Linked DNA regions of Schizosaccharomyces pombe. The gene in region 1 interacts genetically with each later gene. Each region holds a gene or a part of one and is shown in the gene's direction. Other genes may lie near its edges.

Region 1 (6,397 bases):
TTTTATCAGTCCTTTCTGGTTACGATATTGTCAAGAAAATTTCCAAAGCTGAGACTGACAACCGTGATAAGCCTCTTGAAGATGTAAAAATTATCAAATCTGGGCAGTTGTCTCAAGAAAATGTTGAAGATGACGGAACAGATGAATTGTAATCCCTACTTTCTATTTATGAAAGTCATCAACATCTAGTGTTTATAAGATTTACTTGAAAAGCAATGATTTTACATTCTGTTAACATAAACGTTTATCATTGGAAGGATCACTTCTTGTGGTAGTTTGTTTGCATTTTCTGACAGCCATAGTTGTATAACTAATATACGCATAAAGAATGCGATTTTAACAAGTTTTCAATTGAATGAATATAGAACTCTACGTATATTATCCAATTTAGCAAGCGTAATAGCAATGCTGCAATTCTGATAGTAAGTATTGACAACAAACGCGAAGCTTATTAGCTGCTTACTATTTTGTTATGTTTTATCAAAAAGAACTCAAAGACATTATTTTTTCCTATCAGCTGGCTGATATTACTAGCACGTTGTGTAGTTGTTTACCCTATGGGCTCTTAGAAAAGCGGACTTAAGGAATTTCGAGAGTCGGAAGCTGTCCACCGCAAACATTTGGGTAAAATCGGTTTTTGCGTCAATTGTGAGAAATCAATTTCAAACTAATCGTAATGTTTGACTCAACAAAAAAATCACTGCATTCGATGTCGGATTCTGCGAACCGCTTCCAGAATAAGATTACATCGAAATTACCAGGTAAGCATATTTCCTTTGCTTTTTGAGACATTACTAACAAAATGGGATTTATAGGTGAACATGGCGAAGATGCTATGTATGATATTAGATCCGTTCATGGAACCGGGCCTCGTTTATCAATAAAATATGTCGATGTTACAAAATTGCCTCCTCCTCCAAAACATGCTTCACAGTTGCGTGCCGGTGGTAGTAGTACTGGAAGTACACCTAGAACGGCTAGCCCGGCTGTAGGAAATCAAGATTATTCGAAACCCTCTTATTCGCAGCCTTCTTATTCCCAACCTTCACAGCCCCCCAAGGAACCCGCTCTTCCTTCAAGAGGGACTCCTTCACTTCCTAGTCGACCAGGGAGTCGTCCGTCCGTCTTAAATCAAGAACAAGTCCCACCACCTCCTGTTCGTCCTAATGTAATGTCTCAGATGCCCCCACCTCCCTCCTACAGCTCTTCTGGTTCTTATTCCCAAACTTATCAGTCAAACGCTAATTATACTGCCTCTTCTCCTCTCCCTACAGCTTCTGCAAATGCACCCTTGCCGGTTCCTCCTCCCCGAAGGGTTTCTCAAAACAGTTCATATGCATCTGGATCTGTTCCCGCGGCGACTGCTGCTTCTACAGCGTCGCCTGTTAAGAAACCACCTCCACCTGCACCTCCAAAGCCAAGAAGACTTGCTGCCCGAACTTCTAGTAATTCGTCCGGTGTAAGCTCGCCAACTTCTGTTCCACCTCCGGTTCAAAGGAATACTCGACCCAACCTATAAACCAAATTTTTGCTTTCTATTTTCTTTCTCTTACTACACCATTATTACCTAGGATGGCCTATTTAGCATACTAGATGTTATTCAATGTTTAAATCATAATCTTCTTAAATCAACTTTCCTACGAATAGTCGTACATACTAGGTAATTTGACAATTTAAAATGAAAGGTATCATCAATGTAGGAACGTTCAAAAATCTTAAATAAGGTACTGCGAAGTCGACATGGTAATTTTCTTTGTAAATGTCATAATATTTACTTCTGCATTTAATGACATACATATTATACAAGAAGAGTAAAGAACTTATCTGTTTTAACAGTATTCACCTTCAAAGATCTTAGAAAATTGGTTCAACTGTGATGATCTTTTGACGAAAGAATGTTAGAATGACTACGCCATGAGAACCTGTTGAATATCGTAATATTTAAGAAATAACTATACCAATATATGTATAGTGTAGTATGGCCTAGATATGTACCATACTTTTACAGATTTGTCTTTTTGTTTTGGGTTAGTCCCAATTGTTTATCTGTAGAGCGAAATATAGATCTTTCTTAGAAGGTGAATTGCTTATATGAGTCGCCCTATTGAAATAGCCAATGTGTCTTCTGGAAACCGTAGAACGCTCCCAGCACTTCATGGCTCTAGTTTTTCTAGCCGCTCAGAACTTGACAATAATACAAATTCAAAAATATCACGTCGCTTAAGAGAGTTAGTTTGTCAACGTATGGGTGAAAATCCACTTCGACTTCGACAGTCGTTTCATGAGACAATTTCTAATGATAGTTACGGGAATTCAGAGAAATTGGTATTTAGGCTAATTGTTTGGCTAATTTATTAACAAAATTATAGGTGATCAGGCCCTGCATTTGTTGTAATAGCGTCCTGCGCTACCCTGCACAAGCTATGTGCTTTCGTTGTTCATTATGTATGACTGTGAACGATGTTTATTTTTGTTTAAGTGGCTCCCAAATAAAGACAAAAGCTTCAACCGATGGATCACAATTTATCTCAGTTGAACATTTTGTTGAAACAATTCATCAAACACGAAGTGCCTTGCAACTTGCTAAGCAGCGAACTGGCAACGTTCAAGCTATTGTGGCTGCAGGCTTACCATTACGAGAACTTATATCCTTAGTATTTGGAAGTCCACCGATATTGAATAAACTGTTCTCGGTTAAAAATGGTTGTTCAATCCAATCTTCCGGACTAAATTATAAGCTCATTTACCAATTGTACCATGATATTACAAATTTAGACATTTTAATAACAAATGAGTTGTTAAGAGCTATCGAGAGTTTACTTCGGAGACCCATGCTATATTGTCATGATCCAGCGGATTATCAATATCTTCTCATTCTTTTGGAAAATCCTTTGTTGAACTCAAAATCAAAGAATATAGTGAACAAGAGTAGCAGCATTTTGAAGAGGATTTTGGGAGTTTTATCTAACTTGAACGAGAAGACACATCATTTTTTTATTTCTTGTTTTAAAAAACAACCTTACAACAATCCTAAGTTTTTTCGAAGAAAAGTCGATCTCATAAACAAGTTTATTGGTCAACGATTAATGGAAACTTACAGTAGAAACAAAAGGAAGCACTACTATAATAATGACTGGCAAATTAAGTCAGCAGCTATTACTATGGCCTTATTATACTCTGCTAATTCGCAAATGAGACTGATAGACAGATCTTCATTTTACTGCATAATGGCTGATTTCATAAATCTTTATCACGACTTTGAGTTATGGGAGCAAAAAATCAATTGCTTTTGTTTTTGCCAGTATCCTTTTCTTCTTTCAATGGGTGCTAAAATTAGTATTCTTCAGCTTGATGCTCGGAGAAAAATGGAGATTAAAGCAAGAGAAGCATTTTTCTCTTCAATTCTTTCCAAAATGAACGTTGAACCTTATTTGATGATTCGTGTTCGGCGAGATCGACTGTTAGAAGACAGCCTAAGGCAAATTAATGACAGAAATAAAGATTTTAGAAAGGCATTAAAAGTTGAGTTTTTAGGTGAAGAAGGAATCGATGCAGGAGGATTAAAGAGAGAATGGTTGCTGCTTTTAACGAGGAAAGTTTTTAGCCCTGAGTTTGGATTATTTGTGAACTGTGAAGAGTCTTCAAATTATCTATGGTTTAATTATTCACACAGGTCGAAAGAAATTGATTACTATCATATGTCAGGTATATTGATGGGAATTGCAATCCACAATTCAATAAATTTGGATGTACAGATGCCCAGAGCTTTCTATAAAAAACTTTTACAGTTACCTCTAAGTTTCAATGACTTGGATGATTTTCAGCCTAGTCTATATCGAGGATTAAAAGAGCTTTTACTATTTGAAGGAGATGTAAAAAATACTTACGGTCTTAATTTTACAATTAATCTCAAAGCTGTCGAGGGCTTTCGCACTGTTGAGTTGAAAGAAGGAGGCTCTGAATTGAGTGTTGATAATGAGAACAGAAAAGAATATGTTTTGAGGTATGTAGATTATCTCTTAAATACTACTGTAAAAAAACAATTTTCTGCTTTTTTCGATGGCTTTATGAAAGTATGTGGAGGTAACGCCATATCGTTGTTTCAAGACAATGAAATCAGCAAGTTGATCAGAGGAAGTGAAGAAGTTATTGACTGGGAGCTACTCAAAAATGTCTGCGTTTATGATTTTTATGACCAAAATGCGATTTCAAATTCTATATCTGAAAGTGAACCAAGTATGACTGCATCTAAATATCTCTGCCACTCTTTCGTATCAAAAAGAAAAATAATACTTTGGTTTTGGGATTTGATATCACACTATTCGCTAAAAATGCAAAAACTTTTTCTCATTTTCGTCACAGGAAGCGATCGCATTCCCGCTACTGGGGCACATAATTTTCAATTAAGAATCTCAGTTCTCGGACCTGACAGTGATCAACTTCCTATCTCTCATACTTGCTTCAATCACTTATGTATTTGGGAATACTCCAGTAGGGAAAAGTTAAAAAAAAAATTAGACACGGCGTTGCTTGAAACTAATGGGTTCAATATACGCTAGTGTTTACATCAGGGTTCGCAATTCCTTACCTTTTACTACTATATACATATATCTATTTATTTAAGATCTAAATTAAATTCAACATATTTTAAGGTCTACATTAGCACTAATGGACCTTTATAATTTATCATATAAAATGGGATCGTAAGCAAATCTTTACATAATTCAAATAAGGATGAATATAAAACGTGTCTCTATACAATTTGTTTTTCTTTTTTGAATTGCTGAAATATCTCTTCCATCCTGTCTTCATCAGAGTCATCATCATCATATTCTTCAGCTGAATTGCTTTCCTGTTGCCCCTTGCTTTCAGTTCGCTCTTCGTCAGTATTATCAGAAACATCGTCAGCGTATTCTGAGTTTATGGTTTGTTTATCATGAATGTAGATATCATCGTCTAAGTCAGAATCATCACCTATGAAAGGATCAACGAACTTATCAGATTCCAAATTATCATCACCGTCGTTCCTTTGTGAATGTACACATATCTGACATCGTGGATCCAGGACATGTCTTTGTGCCTTAGAGAATTCATTAATGCCCTTAGTTTGTTGACAAGCGGTACACCAAATTGAATCATGCTGTTTGGGCTGGCAGGTACGACATATCACTTTTGGGTCTGAAACGCTAACCGTTCTCCCACGAACAAATGTAAACGTTTTGCTCCATTGAGTTTTGCTGTAAGAGTCTATCCCTTTAACCTTTCTGCATCTCATACACATAATTAAACAATCATTATCATTTTTCCCTTTTGAATTCAATGTACCCCGGTATTTTTTAGCATGTAGTTTGCAATCCTTCGGATGCTTTTTAATTTTATATTTTCGACTCTTAAAATCCATATTTTTTTATTATTATTAATATGGTAACAATACTCTTATAAATGAATATATGTACTGAAATAATTTTAATTAGCTGCTGACGTTAGAAGCATTAAGTAGACAATACCTTTAATGAACAAAATGTGATAGCCTTGACAACCAAATAGAAGAAACATACAGGCTTAATCAGGATTTAGAAAAAAAAAACAGTAATACAAGCCGTCCTATCAATTGTCATTGAGATCTTTACGCTGATCAGGCTGTAAATGCATTAATATAAAATTTACTACCGTTCGGTTCGATTAATAGGTGAATCAATGATATTAAAGCAAAAAAGAATACATATATTTGTTGATTGCTTCATGTTCTATTGACAATGAAAATTGCACATATTCAAAGGGTTGTTTTCAAAATAAATACTGCTTCCCATTCTATTATTCTCGCCTTCAAGTTTTTGATTGCGAATTATTCTTTGAAAATAAACGGAATAATAAAACTTTAGATAGCCTACACTTTTCCTACCTTAAATGGAATTGTATGATTTGTAAAATCCCGAAGAATGTCAGAAGCTTCTAAACAAATTGGAAACTGGAATTTAATTTGCGCACTTCCTACTCCTGCTACTTTGTAAAAGTTAAAACCTCTTAATACCAGAGTTCTCTTTTCAATCATATCGTTAAAAAATTAATGTTTCTTGAGTAAATCTAAGGTCGTTTTAGCTGATTAGTATCTATCATGAGTGAAATTTCAAACCGTTTACAAATTTTATTAATTGATTGCTATGACTCATACACTTTTAACCTTTATGACTTACTTTACAAAGCAAGTGAAAATGCCTGTGTTATTGTTGTTCATTGGGATAAAATGAGTCCTGATTTATGGGAAGACATACTTCAATTTGATGCCATTGTCGTAGGACCGGGCCCTGGACATCCTGCCGAATATTCTTCTATTTTGAATCGTATTTGGCAATTAAATATCCCAGTAATGGGCATTTGTTTGGGGTTTCAGTCATTA
Region 2 (5,757 bases), 560 kb from region 1:
TGGAGATTTTTTCCACTCAATGGAATCTCGAATATTTTAGCAAAGCCTTCTTTCCTAAAGTTAGGGGAAAAAGACTGGCAATTATCACATTGTTTGCGAGATGAAATGGCATGGTAGAAGGCACGCACAACTTTTTTCCTCTCGTGTAAAAGAAGTGTAGTCAACTGAGCATCGATATGAGCGTTCTGGCGTGAGTCAGCAATAGACTTAGCAACGAATTCATCGCGAATGCGCATAAGTGTTGCAGCATCTTTAGCAATATCATCGTGTCCAAGACCACTGTCCTCGCTGTCACTTCCATCTTCAAGTGGAGTGCCGTTAGAATTCTTTATGATTGCCTCAGTAAGACTGACATTCTCCACCATCTCTGACTCATTTAAAAGACCATAATCAAGCAACTTGAGTCTACAAAAGAAAAGATGAACCTTGACTTTTGAAAGCTTGAAATGATGGCAGTACAAGCAAGTTGAACGTAATAAATTGTACATTTGAGAAAAAAATAGAGGGTGATATGCAGGAATAGGAAGTACTATATGACCAAAATGACCAGGGCAGTATCTTTCATCCAAATGACATGTAGCGCAAACAGAATTTTTTAGATATGGACCCAAAGCAAGGTCATATAATCCGCCGTTAGTAGGGTGATTTAAATTGTCAAGCAAAACGGGATTTACGATTTGTTTGACGGATATTTTTTCGACATCGTCAACATCGTAAATCCCAAACTTCACACTTTTAATCTCCGAAGAGACTGGCTGTGCAATATTCATTGTACTATTTTGCTTTTGTATACAACCGGCACATGCAATCCGCCCACAGACCTATTTGGTTCTGTATGAAAAGAAAATTTCCTTAGACTGTAATTTGCTAAAGTCCGGTGAAATGCGTTACAATGTGCATAGCTGTGAAGCTTCATTACTTATTTTACAGCGCGTTATATACAATAACACACGTAAAATTTTTTGGTAAACTACAAATTAGATATTTTAGCGCATCGGTAAATTTATAAACAAACCGAAAAAACCGGATTATTGATGCTAACACGTTACGATGTACTTTCATTGTTACACGGTTAACATATTGACCACTTAAACCATGGCATTATGGTTTCATTGTCGTAATAAAAATAAACTGGAGTTATTTAGAGAATTCGTACTGTATGCGAGTGGAATGTTGGTATCAATCAACTGACTTTCGTTGCTTACATTTTATTAGACTTCACTTCAGATAAAGTGCCTTAATAGTCTAACATGTGTTAGGATTTCTGATCTTGGTCTCTCTTCATTTTTAAATTTAATTGAATTAAAGCCATTCTCAATGTTTTCTGCTTACTTACCTTAAGTAGCGAAAGAAAACTTTCGTTTATAAGCACTAGTTAGTAAAATTCATCTATGGTAACAATATGGGTTTACGAACAATTATTCATATTTTTTGTTGATTTTTGAACATATCTCCTTCTTTTTTATACTATGGAAGTTGTTACTGACTTTTTCTCTGCTCAAACGTATGTTTTCGAAAGAATAGAAAAAGGTGCGATAATAGTAGTGAGAACTCAGATTTGAAATTAGCGTATGTTGAAGGCTTAAAAAAATTGAACGTTTCAATAGATTTCACTACCTATATGTTTTTATTCAAAAACTTGTGTTTTTTGAGAAATCGTTAAGCGGTTCGAATATGTGTTGGTATATTGGGTCACTTTTCAATTGAAATATTTTTGAGACTAATCCATAGTATTGAGCAGCTAACTAGTTAATAATCGATTAATTTATTTATGCATATTTCGGAAACATCGATATTGATGTATGTAGAAATGAAAATTTTGCCTTATTAAAAATATTTTCTTATGTCTTCATAACAGCCATCTAATAGCAATACTAATCATCCTCCATAAACAATTTGTTTTGCAATTTTGGAATAAAGTGTCATGTATCGAGTCGCATTCCCCCTACACTAACCACCACCACGCCATGGAATCATTGACGAAAACGGAGTATGTAGATGCGTTTTTGGTAAGCTTTATTTTAGCTATTTCCTTCTTATTAACAAATAGTCAAACTACTCTCCAAACGACAGCATGTCGATCTTTCGACAGCGCCTAGAGCAAGTTCGCCTAGACAACGACATGCTTTCGCAGTGGATTCGTGAGCGAATGGATATTGAACGGCAATACTCAGATCAATTACATAAGCTTGCAATGAACATGCAAGAAAAAAACAATTCATCGTTTGCTTTTAATTATGCTTGGAAACAGCTCGAGGGAGAAACCCTTGAAATTTCAAGATATCACAGTCAAATCATTGGACAAATAGCTTCGCAAGTTTATAAACCTTTGATAGATTATTATACTTCTTCACCACAAACGGCTACGCTTAGACGTTTAGCAGAGCGGTTATCAACAGTTGCAGAGGAGATGGCATCGTCTTCTGTACCTGGTCTGAAGGGATTAAAAAAAAAAGGCCGTGATGCGGATACTAAGAGTCAGAATGATCTCACTGCTTCTCGTGCAACCTGGGATTCCGATGCTCCTTTAGCGTTTGAAAAATTGCAAATTGTTGACGAGGAACGCCTCCTTATATTGAAACAAGTTTACCTGACAATTGCAAGTTTGGAAACTGATACGGCTCTTAAACAGCAAGAATTTTTTTCTAAATCTATGGCAGTTTATTCTGATCTACCTATTGAAGGTGAAATCCGTCAATTCATGAACTCCACATCGAAAGTTATGTCTTCCGCATCTGCTAATAAACCATCTAAGTCATCGGGCTTTCACATAAACAATGGAAAATCTAAAGAGGAAAAGAGTCATGGAGAAAATGAATCTGGTGGTAAATTGAAGAACAAAATGTCCACGTTGTTTCGTCGGAAAACCATAATGCCTAAAAAGGATAAGAAGCCTTCGCATAAATCTAATGGTCGCCCTAATAAATTAACTGCTTTTTTTAATAAGAACTCCAAAGCTTCGAGTATTTCGTCTGCTGAAGAACACCCATCGAATATAGATGATAGTTCAATCGAACGAAGACATTATGATTCCAATCATTCTTCACAAATTCGGGATCATCCCTCTACTAATAATAACGCTTCGTCTTATCAAAACTTTAATGAAACTTCCGACGAGGGCGAGGACAACGATGCCACTATTCGTGCAAACAATGTTCGCTCATCCTTTTTGGAGGCTCCGCTACCTGTGCAGCCTAATGTTCAAGCAGAAACGGTTACGCCTAAGATTTCCTCCAAGGCTTCCCCCTTTAATAAACCCAATTCTGTGCACTCTGAAGCCTCAAGAAATACCCCTTCATCGATCGATAGAGAGAATGCATCACATTCGAATCCTATCATGATGCATGGCAATGATTTTGGTGGGAACTTTAACAACATGCAATCACGATCAACAACAACGTCTCCCACATCAGCGGTGGCTTCCCCTGCGCCTACTGAAAACGAGGATAGCAATGCTGCAATTGAAAGGGTAGCAAATACTTTACGAAAGAATCCCACTATATCAAGAAGGACCCGTCGTGCTGGGACAATGGATCGTTATGCTACAGCATCGTCTGACTATATGGAATCAAACCTCGGTAGCTTGCCCAATTTGTCTACTTTATCATTACAATCGGGACCAGACTCGACTGCAACATGGCACCCTGAGTTCCCAAATTCTTCCGGGCTTTCTGCTTCAATCGTCGAAAAGTATTCTGGTGAATTATCTGAAGATGGCCTTCTTCATCCTTCCTGTTCCGGTCATATATTCATGAAATATACCTCGGATTTTAATACCCCTCCTCCTGAAATGGGTGTTCGCGTTGCGTCTGAATTTCCTATGTCTTTTACTCATTTAAATGACCATGCAGTAAAATATGGACCCTCAGAAAACACACTTTCTTTAATACCAGAGCTACTTCTCTCACCAATCAAAGTCACTGATTTTAATCTACATCTTGATAGTATTAACGGTGCTAGTTGCATTCCATTGACAGTTGTTCAGAAATGGAAGCATGATGAAAGCAGTAGTAGTATGATTGCATTTGTGAAGCCTAATCCTGTGTGGAGGAACTTAGGCTCATCTCTTCATATTGAAAAACTTGTTATCATCGTTTACTTGGGGGAAAATGTCCTTGTAAAAAGCTGTCAAAGTTCTCCGGCCGGAGAATTTAGCAGGAAAACTAGTAAACTTAAGCTACATCTTTCGAACATTAATATATCTTCGTCTGGATTTAAAATTTTAGCCAAGTTTGCGATTAGTCCTAGTGCTGCTATTAGAAAGCCAGTTATCGAGTTCCGTATTCGCATGGTTGATTCCTCTAATAACCCTGGTCTCACCAAATTGTTTTTGAAACCAGATATGTTTGATACTACTTCTTCTAGTGGAGGTTCTCAGCTAGAAAGTGCTTATGAAGAAACGAAGGTTCCTACTTCCTATGGTATTCATGTTCGTGAGTGCTCTGTTTTTGCTGATATGAGTTAAATTACTGTTCATTATTAGTCAAGAAAAAGCAAACTGCTTTTTTGGGTTTTATGTTTACACTTTTTTGCTAACCGAATTTTTTGAACATTGTATATATATATAAATGATTTTTAACCAGAGAATGTACAAATGTAAATAGTTATAGAATTTTGAATAAAGAGTTTCTCATTATTGTACGTACAAATGAGACATTGTTAAGGAGATTTTTTAGATTATTCAACGCAACTGAAAATACACTTTCTTAAATGGTAAACCTTAGAAGTTAGGCGAAAAATAGTGTCTTCAATTTAACGAATTCTATGAGACTGTAAACTAGTACAGTAAAATTATTATTGATTGGGGAACAATACCAGATCTACCTACCTGAGAGTAGCCAACAACGTGAAAATTTTAAAAAATGGCTTTGGGGACTAAGCACGTACTCCATCTCACAAAACCGTCTTCCAGGTCAAGTCCTTTGAACATTGTCATTGAACCAGCAGTGCTTTTTTCTATCCTTGACCATTCAACCCGGAAAAGTGAAAATAATCAACGTGTTATCGGTACACTTTTGGGAACACGTTCTGAAGATGGCCGAGAAATTGAGATTAAAAGTTGTTTTGCAGTTCCTCATAATGAGAGCAGTGAGCAGGTAGAAGTTGAAATGGAATATCATCGTGCGATGTACCATTTACACCTCAAGGCTAACCCTCGTGAAGTTGTCGTTGGTTGGTATGCTACTTCTCCTGATTTAGATGCTTTCAGTGCACTGATTCAAAATTTATATGCTTCTCCTGCTGAACCCGGAACTGCTCCACTAGGAACGTATCCTCATCCCTGTGTTCACCTTACTGTCAACACAGATGTTAGCAGTCCCCTTGCCATCAAGACTTACGTTTCTTCACCAGTAGGTATTACAGAGCGCCTTGCTGACAGCTGTGCATTCGTCCCTACCCCTTTTACCATTCGTGATGACGAGGCAGTCCGTTCTGGTTTGAAAGCTGTAGCTGCTCCTAAGAATGACCCATCTAGACTTGCTAGCCTATTCACAGATCTCCAGCAACTTCGAAGATCAACCTTGGAGCTTTTATCTATGATTGAAAGAGTTTCCGATTATGTGCAAAACGTAATTGATGGTTCTTCGCCTGCTAATGTTGCTGTCGGTAGATATTTGATGAAGTGCTTTAGTTTAATTCCTTGCGTAGAAGGCCAAGATTTTGAAAAAATTTTTTCATCACATCTTCAAGATGTTTTGGTTGTAGTTTATCTCGCAAATACCTTACGTACTCAAGTGGATATTGCTTCCCGTCTTA
Region 3 (4,812 bases), on another chromosome or scaffold:
TTTCATACTCATTCACAGTAGCTGTAGCTTATATTACTGCCATTCAGTATAGTAAAGTCGGTACATATTCACATATGGTGGCACTCAATTATATGATGTAAAAAATGCAATTCCACCAAGTTCGCTATATACATCATTGAAGAAGACGGGAGCCGTAAGCTAACAAACCAGACACTATGATTTATAAGTTAGTCTGCCGATATTTACGCAAATTCAATACGCCTTTCTTTTTTTCCAGGGGAAATGTTTGCATACACCAAGAACATGATGTTGAGACGTAAATCTAGTACGGAAAACCAAGATGCATACGTTATGGTTTGATCATTAAATGTCTTGTTGAAAAATTATAAATATGCATCGTTTCTCTCGATGTTTACACTACATTAAAAAAAAGAAATCTGCAGCTTAATTTGAAAACACTAAAAAAACCTGCATTCTTCTTTTTTCCACGAAAGATCTGTTGCTGCTTACGCTATTATTTGTTATTATTATAAATAATAATAACATTTCTATCGATAACTTCGTTTCATATAGTTTTTAACATTTACTCCTTCCCACTTTTTTGTATAATACTCTTCAAAAATGGCCCCTCAATTCAAACGCCCTGAGCTCTTTGGCTTTGATAAGTCTCATGCTCAATCTTTTGTTCAAGGAAAATGGATTTCTTCTCCTAACAACAAAACTTTTGAGGTTGATAACCCAGCTACTGGTGAAATAATCGGTAAAGTGGCCGATGTCTCAGTAGAGGAAACAAAAAAAGCCATCAGTGCCGCTAACGAGGCCTTCAAAACTTATAAAAATTTTACTCATGTCCAACGTAGTCAGTTATTGGAACGCTGGGCAGAGCTTATTATGGAGAACAAAGACGACTTGGTCAAGATGCTTACCTTAGAAAACGGCAAGCCTTTGAGCCAAGCTGAGATGGAGGTCACCACATGTAGCGGATATCTTAAATGGTATGCTGCTGAAGCCGTTCGTACCTTTGGCGATGTAGCTCCTTCCAGCTTACAAAGTCAAAACTTTCTCATCTCCATCAAACAGCCAGTTGGTGTCAGTGCCTTGATTACTCCTTGGAACTTCCCCGCCGCCATGATTGCTCGTAAAGGTGGTGCCGCTTTGGCTGCTGGTTGTACCGCTATTTTCTTGCCTGCTTTCCGCACTCCCTACGTTTGCTTAGGTTTAGTCAGGTTGGCGCAAGAGGCCGGTTTCCCTGACGGTGTCTTAAATGTGATCACTTCTTCTGATGCATCTGCTCATGGTAAAGAACTGACTACCAACCCTATCGTTCGTAAGGTTTCCTTCACTGGTAGTACTAATGTCGGTAAAATTCTTATGGGACAAAGTGCCAGCACAATCAAGAAGGTTTCAATGGAGTTAGGAGGTAATGCCCCTTTCATTGTATTCCCTGACTTCCCCATTGATCAGGCTGTCGAATCTTTCTGCACTATCAAGTTTAACTCTTGTGGTCAAGTTTGTGTCTGCCCTAACAGAGTTTACGTTCACAAGAATGTTTACGACGAATTCGTCAGCAAGCTTACCGAAAAAGTCAAGACCATTAAAGTAGGAGATGGATTTGACTCTTCTTCTGCTGTTGGCCCTTTGATTTCTCAAGATGGATGCAAAAAGGTCAGCAAGCACATTGAAGATGCTGTTTCAAAGGGTGCCAAAATCACTGTTGGTGGAAAGGAGATTTCCTCAAGCAAAGGTTATTTTTTTGAACCAACCGTGCTCTCCGGTGTAACTCAAGACATGTTGGTTGCTAGCGAGGAAACATTCGGCCCACTCGCCTCTGTCTTCAAGTTCGACGACACCGAAGAGGTGATCGAATGGGCTAACGACAGTGATGTTGGCTTGGCCGGTTACGTCTTTACCAATAACTTGTCCACAATGATCCACGTTGCCAAAGAACTAGAGGTGGGTCTTGTAGGTGCCAATATCGAAATGGTTGACGAACCATTTATTTCCTTTGGCGGCATCAAACAGAGCGGTTTTGGCAAGGAAGCCGGTCGTTTGGGCGTTCAAGAATTTATGGTGGTTAAGGAAATCAATCTCAAGACTCTTTAAGGATTTTCGCTTTAGAAAGCTGCATATTATTGAACAAGCAATGATGTCCTCTTTTGGTTAATGACTAAAAAATCCTGATGTTATGACTGTTTTACATGTTTGCGATACAAATCGTATTTTAGTTTAATGATATCAAAAAAATTTAATACCTGAACATCGTGGGTCATCGATGAAGAATGGATTGTTGTGTCAGAAAATCTATACTTGTAGTTATTGTTCTGAGCAATCTGAAAAGTTATAAAGAATTGTAGGTTCTAAAATTGGCAATACTGGAGCTAGAAATCTATATAATAGTAAATATTTTTTAATAATAACAGGTGTAGCACGTGAAATTTTGCGTCGCCTTGTAGTTTGTTACTTCCAACTAGACACATGTATTTTTTGTTGTTTGACTTGAAATAGGGTCAGGTATTCAATTTTCCGTATGCAGTGATGAGTGCTGTTGATGAATGGGTACATAATGCCAATGAATGCATAGAAATTGTACAAGGTATGCTATGTTAAATTATAATGTTTTTACCTTGTGTTAACACCTGTCAGTAAACGAAAAGCATGAAAAAGATTGTCAATACCATCCTAGCAATACATATGCAATATTTGGAGATGCTGAGGTTATTTATGGATATAAAGATCTAAATGTCACTGTAAGATTAAATCAGCAAGTTTTAGTCATGAAATTTGATTGCAAATAGTAACAGTTATTAGATAACCTATGAATGCCCATTGATGGTCCCAAAACTGGAAATCTCATATTCAGAGCGCCTAGCACCAGATTCAGGAGTGGAACCAACTGATATTGAAGGAACATTAAACACTTATCTAAAAGATCGTTCCATTAAGGTTGAAGGAAACTCATTTGACGTTCATTCGGCAAATAGTATTCATAACTATTCCTTTAATGGAAAAACATTCAAGATTTTACAAGTATGTTCGATTACCTTTCAATTGGAGAAGTATTCAATTATTGAATATCCCTATATGTTCTTTGGCTAATAATCGTAATGTATTAATAGGCAACGGTTCTTGAAGCTAGTGAGATTATGCAGCATTTGCAAATATTTTCCTTATTTTTTATTGAAGGGGGCTCTTTTATTGACCTTAATGATCCAAGATGGATGGTATATTTACTGTAAGTTTGTTATTTTCTACGCGTCTACTTTCCTTTTACCTTTTTATCGAGGTTTTATTAACAAAAATAAGTTACGAGACTACTGAAGATGATTATTGCTTACGTGGTTATTGTACTGTATACAAATATTATAAATGGGACAAATTAATTCACGATGGTATTCGAGCTCGTATCTCACAATTCGTGATTTTACCCCCTTTTCAACATCAAGGACACGGTTCGCAATTGTACAATGCTATTGTTAGTACCTTTTTGAAAAATCCTAAAATTTTAGACTTCACAGTTGAGGATGCATCGGAAGCGTTTGATAGCCTTAGAGACCATTGCGACTATAAAAGATTATTATCAATGGGAATATTTTCAGAACCTGACTTTCATCCCTCTCTTTCTAGGCAGTGGATAAACTCGAAAATAGCTGAAACAAAGTTAACCCAGGTTCGTAATTTGCTAAATTTACCATGCAATGCAACTTACTAATTGTCTTTTTTTAGCGTCAATTCTCACGCTGTTGTGAATTAGCATTTACAACGAAACTAAAAAAGCTTTCATTATTGGAGCGGAAATCTGTTAGACTAGGAATAAAGGAAAGGATTTTTCGTCAAAATCTTGATGTGTTGCTACAGTTGGATAAGTCCGAACGTATTGAAAAAATTCATAACGCCTATGAAAATCAGTTTGATGAGTATAAACAGATTGTCAAAAAGCTACCCAAGCTTAAGGAAGATTCGCCTCGAAAACGCCAAAAACTTGCTCAATCTTCTTCCTAAATGAAAACACTTTTAGAGATCTGAAATACTTTGAGAATATTGAAGGCATATTAGCATAAAAAGTTATGAGAATCGACTAAATTACACTATTGGACGCAATTACTTTTTATATAATTTGCTTTTGAAAGCTTTCGCTTGAAATGATTAAAGACATTTGAAACAGTGATCATTTTAATAATATAAATTTTGTATATATTTTGCAAATTTAGTGTGATATCTAGTTTAATAAAATCTATAAAGGCACCTTATAAAAATTCAAACAATTCCTCATAATGAACTGCTTTTTCCAAAATTTAAATATTTTAATATCTACTATCAATAATATTGGTTATTTTCAACGACCAGTACAACTTTAGGTGCTTGTCATTCTCATCCGTCCTCCTTCCTATTCCGATCCCGACTTTGTTCATTACCTGACACCCCGGATAAAGTTAGCTCAATTAGCAAATTCTCATTCGATCTTATAAAGGAATTATTCTTTTTCAAAAATGAGTGGAAGATTTGTGAGAGCTAGTAAATATAGTACGCATGCTTTTTGAGTAAATAATTATTAACTGACGTTAGGACATATCTTTGGACAAACCTGCAAAAAAGAACTTTGCTACGACAACATAAAGGTTGGTCGATACTTTAATGGTTTGAAATTTACTAATTGTCTTCAATAGCTTAGCAATAATGCATGGGATTCTAACCTATTGAGTGTGAACCCCTTTTACCTCAGTGTTAATTGGAATGCGGGAGCTGGAGGTGCATTGGCAGTTATCCCTTTAAACGAAAGAGGAAAGCTTCCCGATCAAGTTAATTTGTTTCGGGGCCATACTGCGGCTGTTTTAGATACTGATTGGAATCCCT
Region 4 (3,911 bases), on another chromosome or scaffold:
ATGTTGCTTTATGACTGTGTTTTCAGTACTTTGTTGACGAATTTCCTCAGCTAGGTTCTTCAAGTCAGGATTAGCCATTTCTTCACTGGATAAGTTGACCAGATCGTTAAAACTAATTTCATTTTTTAACACGCGCGCTCGAAATGCCGGGTTTTTGTCATCAACCAAGTTGAATCGTAAAGCACGAAACTTCTCTCGATATTTGTTGTTCGGAGTTAACGAATGATCAGTTGTATACGAAAGCACCATAAACATAATATGCTCAAGCTGAAGCGCTAAGGATGTAGAATTAAGGTCTTCTAATCCTTGCACACCTTCAAGTTTTGCTTTCTCAATGATTTTTTCAAAAACGGAAACCCAGGCTTTGGCAACACTTTTTCTAACAGGGTTTTGAATTTCATCGATAGAAGTGTGTAAACTAAGCTCCTTTTCCTGATCTGCAGTTTCATTGGAAGCATCCTTAGGAGATGTTTTTGGTGCATTCTTGCTACGTTTGGTATGAGTAGCCGTCGTACCAACACTGCCTCTTCGTTTTCGAGTTGAAGGTGGAGAATGAGAACTTTTTGGTGTCGTGGAGCCAATAGGAGTCCTAGGAGATTGTCGACCAGACCTAGTAGTCATTCCAACATTAGAATTTGTCGAAGCAGGCTCGGATGATTCTAGTTCAGCGCCTGACTCTTTAGTAATCGCCTCTTTTGAATCAGAAGATACAACATTATTTTCTTCATTGTTTTTCTCGTTCCCTTCATTAGAGGCAAGTAAATCAGCTGTCTGATGCTCTTCATCCTTATTGGGAGAATTTTGTACTTGTGATGAAACGTCGCTTCGCGAATGACAAACTTCACAATAGTAGCTTTCAGGTATATCCTTATCCGCTAATCCAACGCAACTGGCATGTTGCCAGCAATCACACCCATCACATTGAACCCACGTATCGCCAATGTCTTCTTGCGATTTACAAACACACCGAACAACAGTTTCAGGAGGTTTTTCTGAGGCTTTTGCCGTCCTTCTAGTGCTTTTTCTTACCATGCTTCGTTATTATGGGAATAAAAAGTATTTTGATCAATGACATCTGTACTTCAAGGTTAATACATGCAATTCGAATAACAAGTGATTGAATGCGTACTAAATAAACTGAGGAGATTAAAATATATGCATAACTAAACAAAAGTCGTTCCTGAAGTGTTTAATATCCTCACAAAAGCTCGTCAAGAGTTCTAAAAAACAAGGTGTTGGCAGGTATGGGTTATTGGCAAGTGGCAGCAGTGTTGTAGTTTGTTATAGCAAAGGTGCAAAATCTGCGAAAACTAAGGATACATGCTATTTTATAGTTCGAATGCAATATTTTACGATTAAATGTGAATATTGTTAGAAAAGGAGCTTCAAAAATATGAGTAGTGCACGAGAGTTACTGAGGAAAGTAAAACAAGAGCGATTAGGGCAAAAGCGAGGTCTGAAAGCCTCTAGTCAAGAACTGAAGCGTCAGAAGACGAGAGATCATAAATCATTTGAAAATTTAGGTCGTGATCAATCTCGTGAGCTGGCAGTAAGTGATTTTAATGAAAAGCAATCTACAGAACCTCCTAAGGATACACGAGCGGTGTCCGCACTTCCAGAAAACTTTTTTGATGAATCTATTGCTAAAAATAAAGAACTAATTGAAGAAGAGTGGAACGATTTTCAAAATGAGATTGGCATTATTGAGGAAAATGCTGTTGAACAAGAAATAACACTCCAACAGCAACAGTTATTGGCCGAAAAGGATGAAGAAAATGAAATTGCAGATAATGATTTAGAACCAGAAGTTTATGATATTCTTTATGAAGAAGAAAGCAAATTGGGTGAGTCGAGGGATCTTATCCGTCGTTTGAAACAAAAAAGGTTTGAAACTAAAAAAAATAACTTTTCTGTTAAAGAATCTAGCAATTTATCTAATAATGACTCGGATGCTTCACTAGATGAAGACACCTTGCTTTGGGGTTTGTAAAGCTCTGTTTACGATCTTAAAAACAAACAAAAATATTGACACCAACTAAAAGAATACTGTTTATATTACATATTCTTTCCTTAACCAAAAGAAAAATATTAATTAATTAAGAATAATTGCAAATAAGAAGCATTGCTTTAAACACTTTTGCATATTTAATATATATTAATATTTCGGAAGGAATGTGGAAATTTTGTTGTGTAACAGAGAAATTAACTTTGTTCCTATTCATATACGGAATCTGCATTTACATATGCATTGCAGTCCCAATTAGAAGTGATCTTAGTACTGTCTTTGAGCCAGAAGCAAAAGGCTCTCGAATTACTTCAAACTATCGAAGAAGTTTATTTAACATGCTTGGATATGATAATTCGGTTCATCCTAATAACTGTAAGGGCTCATTTCTTTGCCCTATGCTTCGAGGAGAAAATCGTGCGTGTCCGAACGCGTACATGAAGTATAATAGATCCTTGATCTACCATGGATATTCTTCTTATACAGCTAGTTCTTGCACTGCCATTTATGAGTGCGAAGGTGATTATCCAGCACGCACAGGCAACGAAATCATTGATGAATTTGATCAATTAAATTTGCAATGTTCCGCTTGTGGAACTCGTTTTTTTAATAATGATAATGAAAACACAAGATGCTATGTCAAATTGAACTACTGTTATCCAGACTGTACCGAAATTACACCAAGCACCAGCGAATACGATTATCGAGAGCCGGTTAGAGATTGGTAATAATAAGAGGAAAGGATCCATTCTGAATTAAGCATAAATATCATAAATACGAATTTCCAAAAAGGACGACGATTACTGGTGACTTTTATTCTTTTAATCTTTTGTGCGATTAAGTTATCTAAACAGTGATTGTCTTTTCTTATATTTTTAGGGATTGAAGGTATGCAACACAATCTTCGACACTTCCTTCAGGGTGTTTAAATTGCCAGGAAATCATGTTATCCATAGTCTCTTTCAGCTGCGGGCCAGGCTTAACTCCCACATTTTTCATGATCTGTTTTCCCTAAAAAATTGTTAGCTTATTCGCTCAATATTGTTAACAGAAATAAAAGAATTACATACGTCTAATAATGGCTTCATGTTATAAGCATTTTGTAAATTTTTGTCATAAATAAAGTCATATAGAGATTTATAAGAACTAAATGTATTTGATACAGATGCTGCCGGTGTTTTACAACAACTATATATGACCGATGTTAAAAACACGACTTCCCAGGATTTATTCAATTGTCGTATTAAGCTGCCAATAGATGAGCAATTTTTAGTGGAAGTATCGTTAACTAATTCATCGAATATCGGATTGAATGTGCAGCACTGATTCAACTGGTTAACATATGTACTTCTGAGCTTCAACTTGTCTTTTGCGATGATTGCAGGAATATAAAATTGTTTTTTCTTAACCATAACAGTTTGACTAGACCATGGAATTAGAGCAACATATAGCCATAGCCCAATTTTCTCATCTTCACTTAATTTCATAAGTTTAGGAAACGTCAATGCAAGACTCTGAAATAAAGACTCGGTAGCTTCCAATGCCTTTGGAATTTGAAATTCTTTTTCAGCTGGCAAAGTATCGAACGTAAACTGATACGTGTTCGTTGAATATAACAGTTGAAGTGCTAGCTTCGCGTTTGCACCCTTCAACATTTTCTCAATTTCCTCTCCTACACGTTCCTTGCTAACCTTTTTTTCAAAAGCTTTACATACTTTCGGATCTTGGATAGCGGAAACGACCGACGGATCAATTGTAAATTCAAATCTGGATGCAAACCGAATGCCTCTCAAAATTCGTAAGGGATCTTCCAAAAATGATTGGAGAGGTGAAATGGGCGTGACCAACACTTTGGTTTGCAAATCTTTATATCCTCGCTTTGTAATGTCCTCTATTTTTTCTGTTC

What was found.
Region 2: mutations in mug30 (region 1) and syp1 together harm fitness more than expected from each alone (negative genetic interaction), as found in Schizosaccharomyces pombe (one large-scale study listed by BioGRID).
Region 3: mutations in mug30 (region 1) and hat1 together harm fitness less than expected from each alone (positive genetic interaction), as found in Schizosaccharomyces pombe (one large-scale study listed by BioGRID).
Region 4: mutations in mug30 (region 1) and mug117 together harm fitness less than expected from each alone (positive genetic interaction), as found in Schizosaccharomyces pombe (one large-scale study listed by BioGRID).

What each region holds. Positions count from the first base shown.
Region 1 is NC_003423.3:3,686,448-3,692,844, forward strand, and holds mug30 (ubiquitin-protein ligase E3), read left to right. Parts: upstream 1-2,091; coding exon 2,092-2,325; exon of another isoform or gene 2,326-2,369; coding exon 2,370-4,559; 3' UTR 4,560-4,753; coding exon of another isoform or gene 4,754-5,401; 3' UTR 5,402-5,402; downstream 5,403-6,397. Other genes in the region: cyclophilin family peptidyl-prolyl cis-trans isomerase Cyp4, read left to right, coding at 10-152; SPOM_SPBP8B7.26 (uncharacterized protein), read left to right, coding at 677-761, 816-1,519; CLRC complex-Argonaute linker protein Stc1, read right to left, coding at 4,754-5,401; abz1 (para-aminobenzoate synthase), read left to right, coding at 6,116-6,397. UniProt on the Schizosaccharomyces pombe protein: Probable E3 ubiquitin-protein ligase. Has a role in meiosis.
Region 2 is NC_003423.3:3,122,912-3,128,668, reverse strand, and holds syp1 (cytoskeletal protein Syp1), read left to right. Parts: upstream 1-1,947; 5' UTR 1,948-1,967; coding exon 1,968-2,009; intron 2,010-2,050; coding exon 2,051-4,465; 3' UTR 4,466-4,667; downstream 4,668-5,757. Other genes in the region: DNA-directed RNA polymerase I complex large subunit Nuc1, read right to left, coding at 1-770; tif306 (translation initiation factor eIF3f), read left to right, coding at 4,863-5,757. UniProt on the Schizosaccharomyces pombe protein: Multi-functional protein that contributes to the endocytic process, but also to events that occur at the neck during cytokinesis.
Region 3 is NC_003424.3:1,027,734-1,032,545, forward strand, and holds hat1 (histone acetyltransferase Hat1), read left to right. Parts: upstream 1-2,486; 5' UTR 2,487-2,496; coding exon 2,497-2,554; exon of another isoform or gene 2,555-2,604; coding exon 2,605-2,708; exon of another isoform or gene 2,709-2,769; coding exon 2,770-2,988; intron 2,989-3,077; coding exon 3,078-3,193; intron 3,194-3,264; coding exon 3,265-3,628; intron 3,629-3,684; coding exon 3,685-3,960; 3' UTR 3,961-4,208; downstream 4,209-4,812. Other genes in the region: ssd2 (succinate-semialdehyde dehydrogenase), read left to right, coding at 583-2,064; coronin Crn1, read left to right, coding at 4,449-4,482, 4,525-4,577, 4,626-4,812. UniProt on the Schizosaccharomyces pombe protein: Catalytic component of the histone acetylase B (HAT-B) complex. Acetylates 'Lys-12' of histone H4 which is required for telomeric silencing. Has intrinsic substrate specificity that modifies lysine in recognition sequence GXGKXG.
Region 4 is NC_003421.2:1,255,755-1,259,665, reverse strand, and holds mug117 (protein mug117), read left to right. Parts: upstream 1-2,172; coding exon 2,173-2,733; 3' UTR 2,734-2,872; downstream 2,873-3,911. Other genes in the region: bye1 (transcription elongation regulator), read right to left, coding at 1-1,032; SPOM_SPCC645.12C (uncharacterized protein), read left to right, coding at 1,394-1,990; cca2 (ATP/CTP tRNA nucleotidyltransferase), read right to left, coding at 2,873-3,016, 3,076-3,911.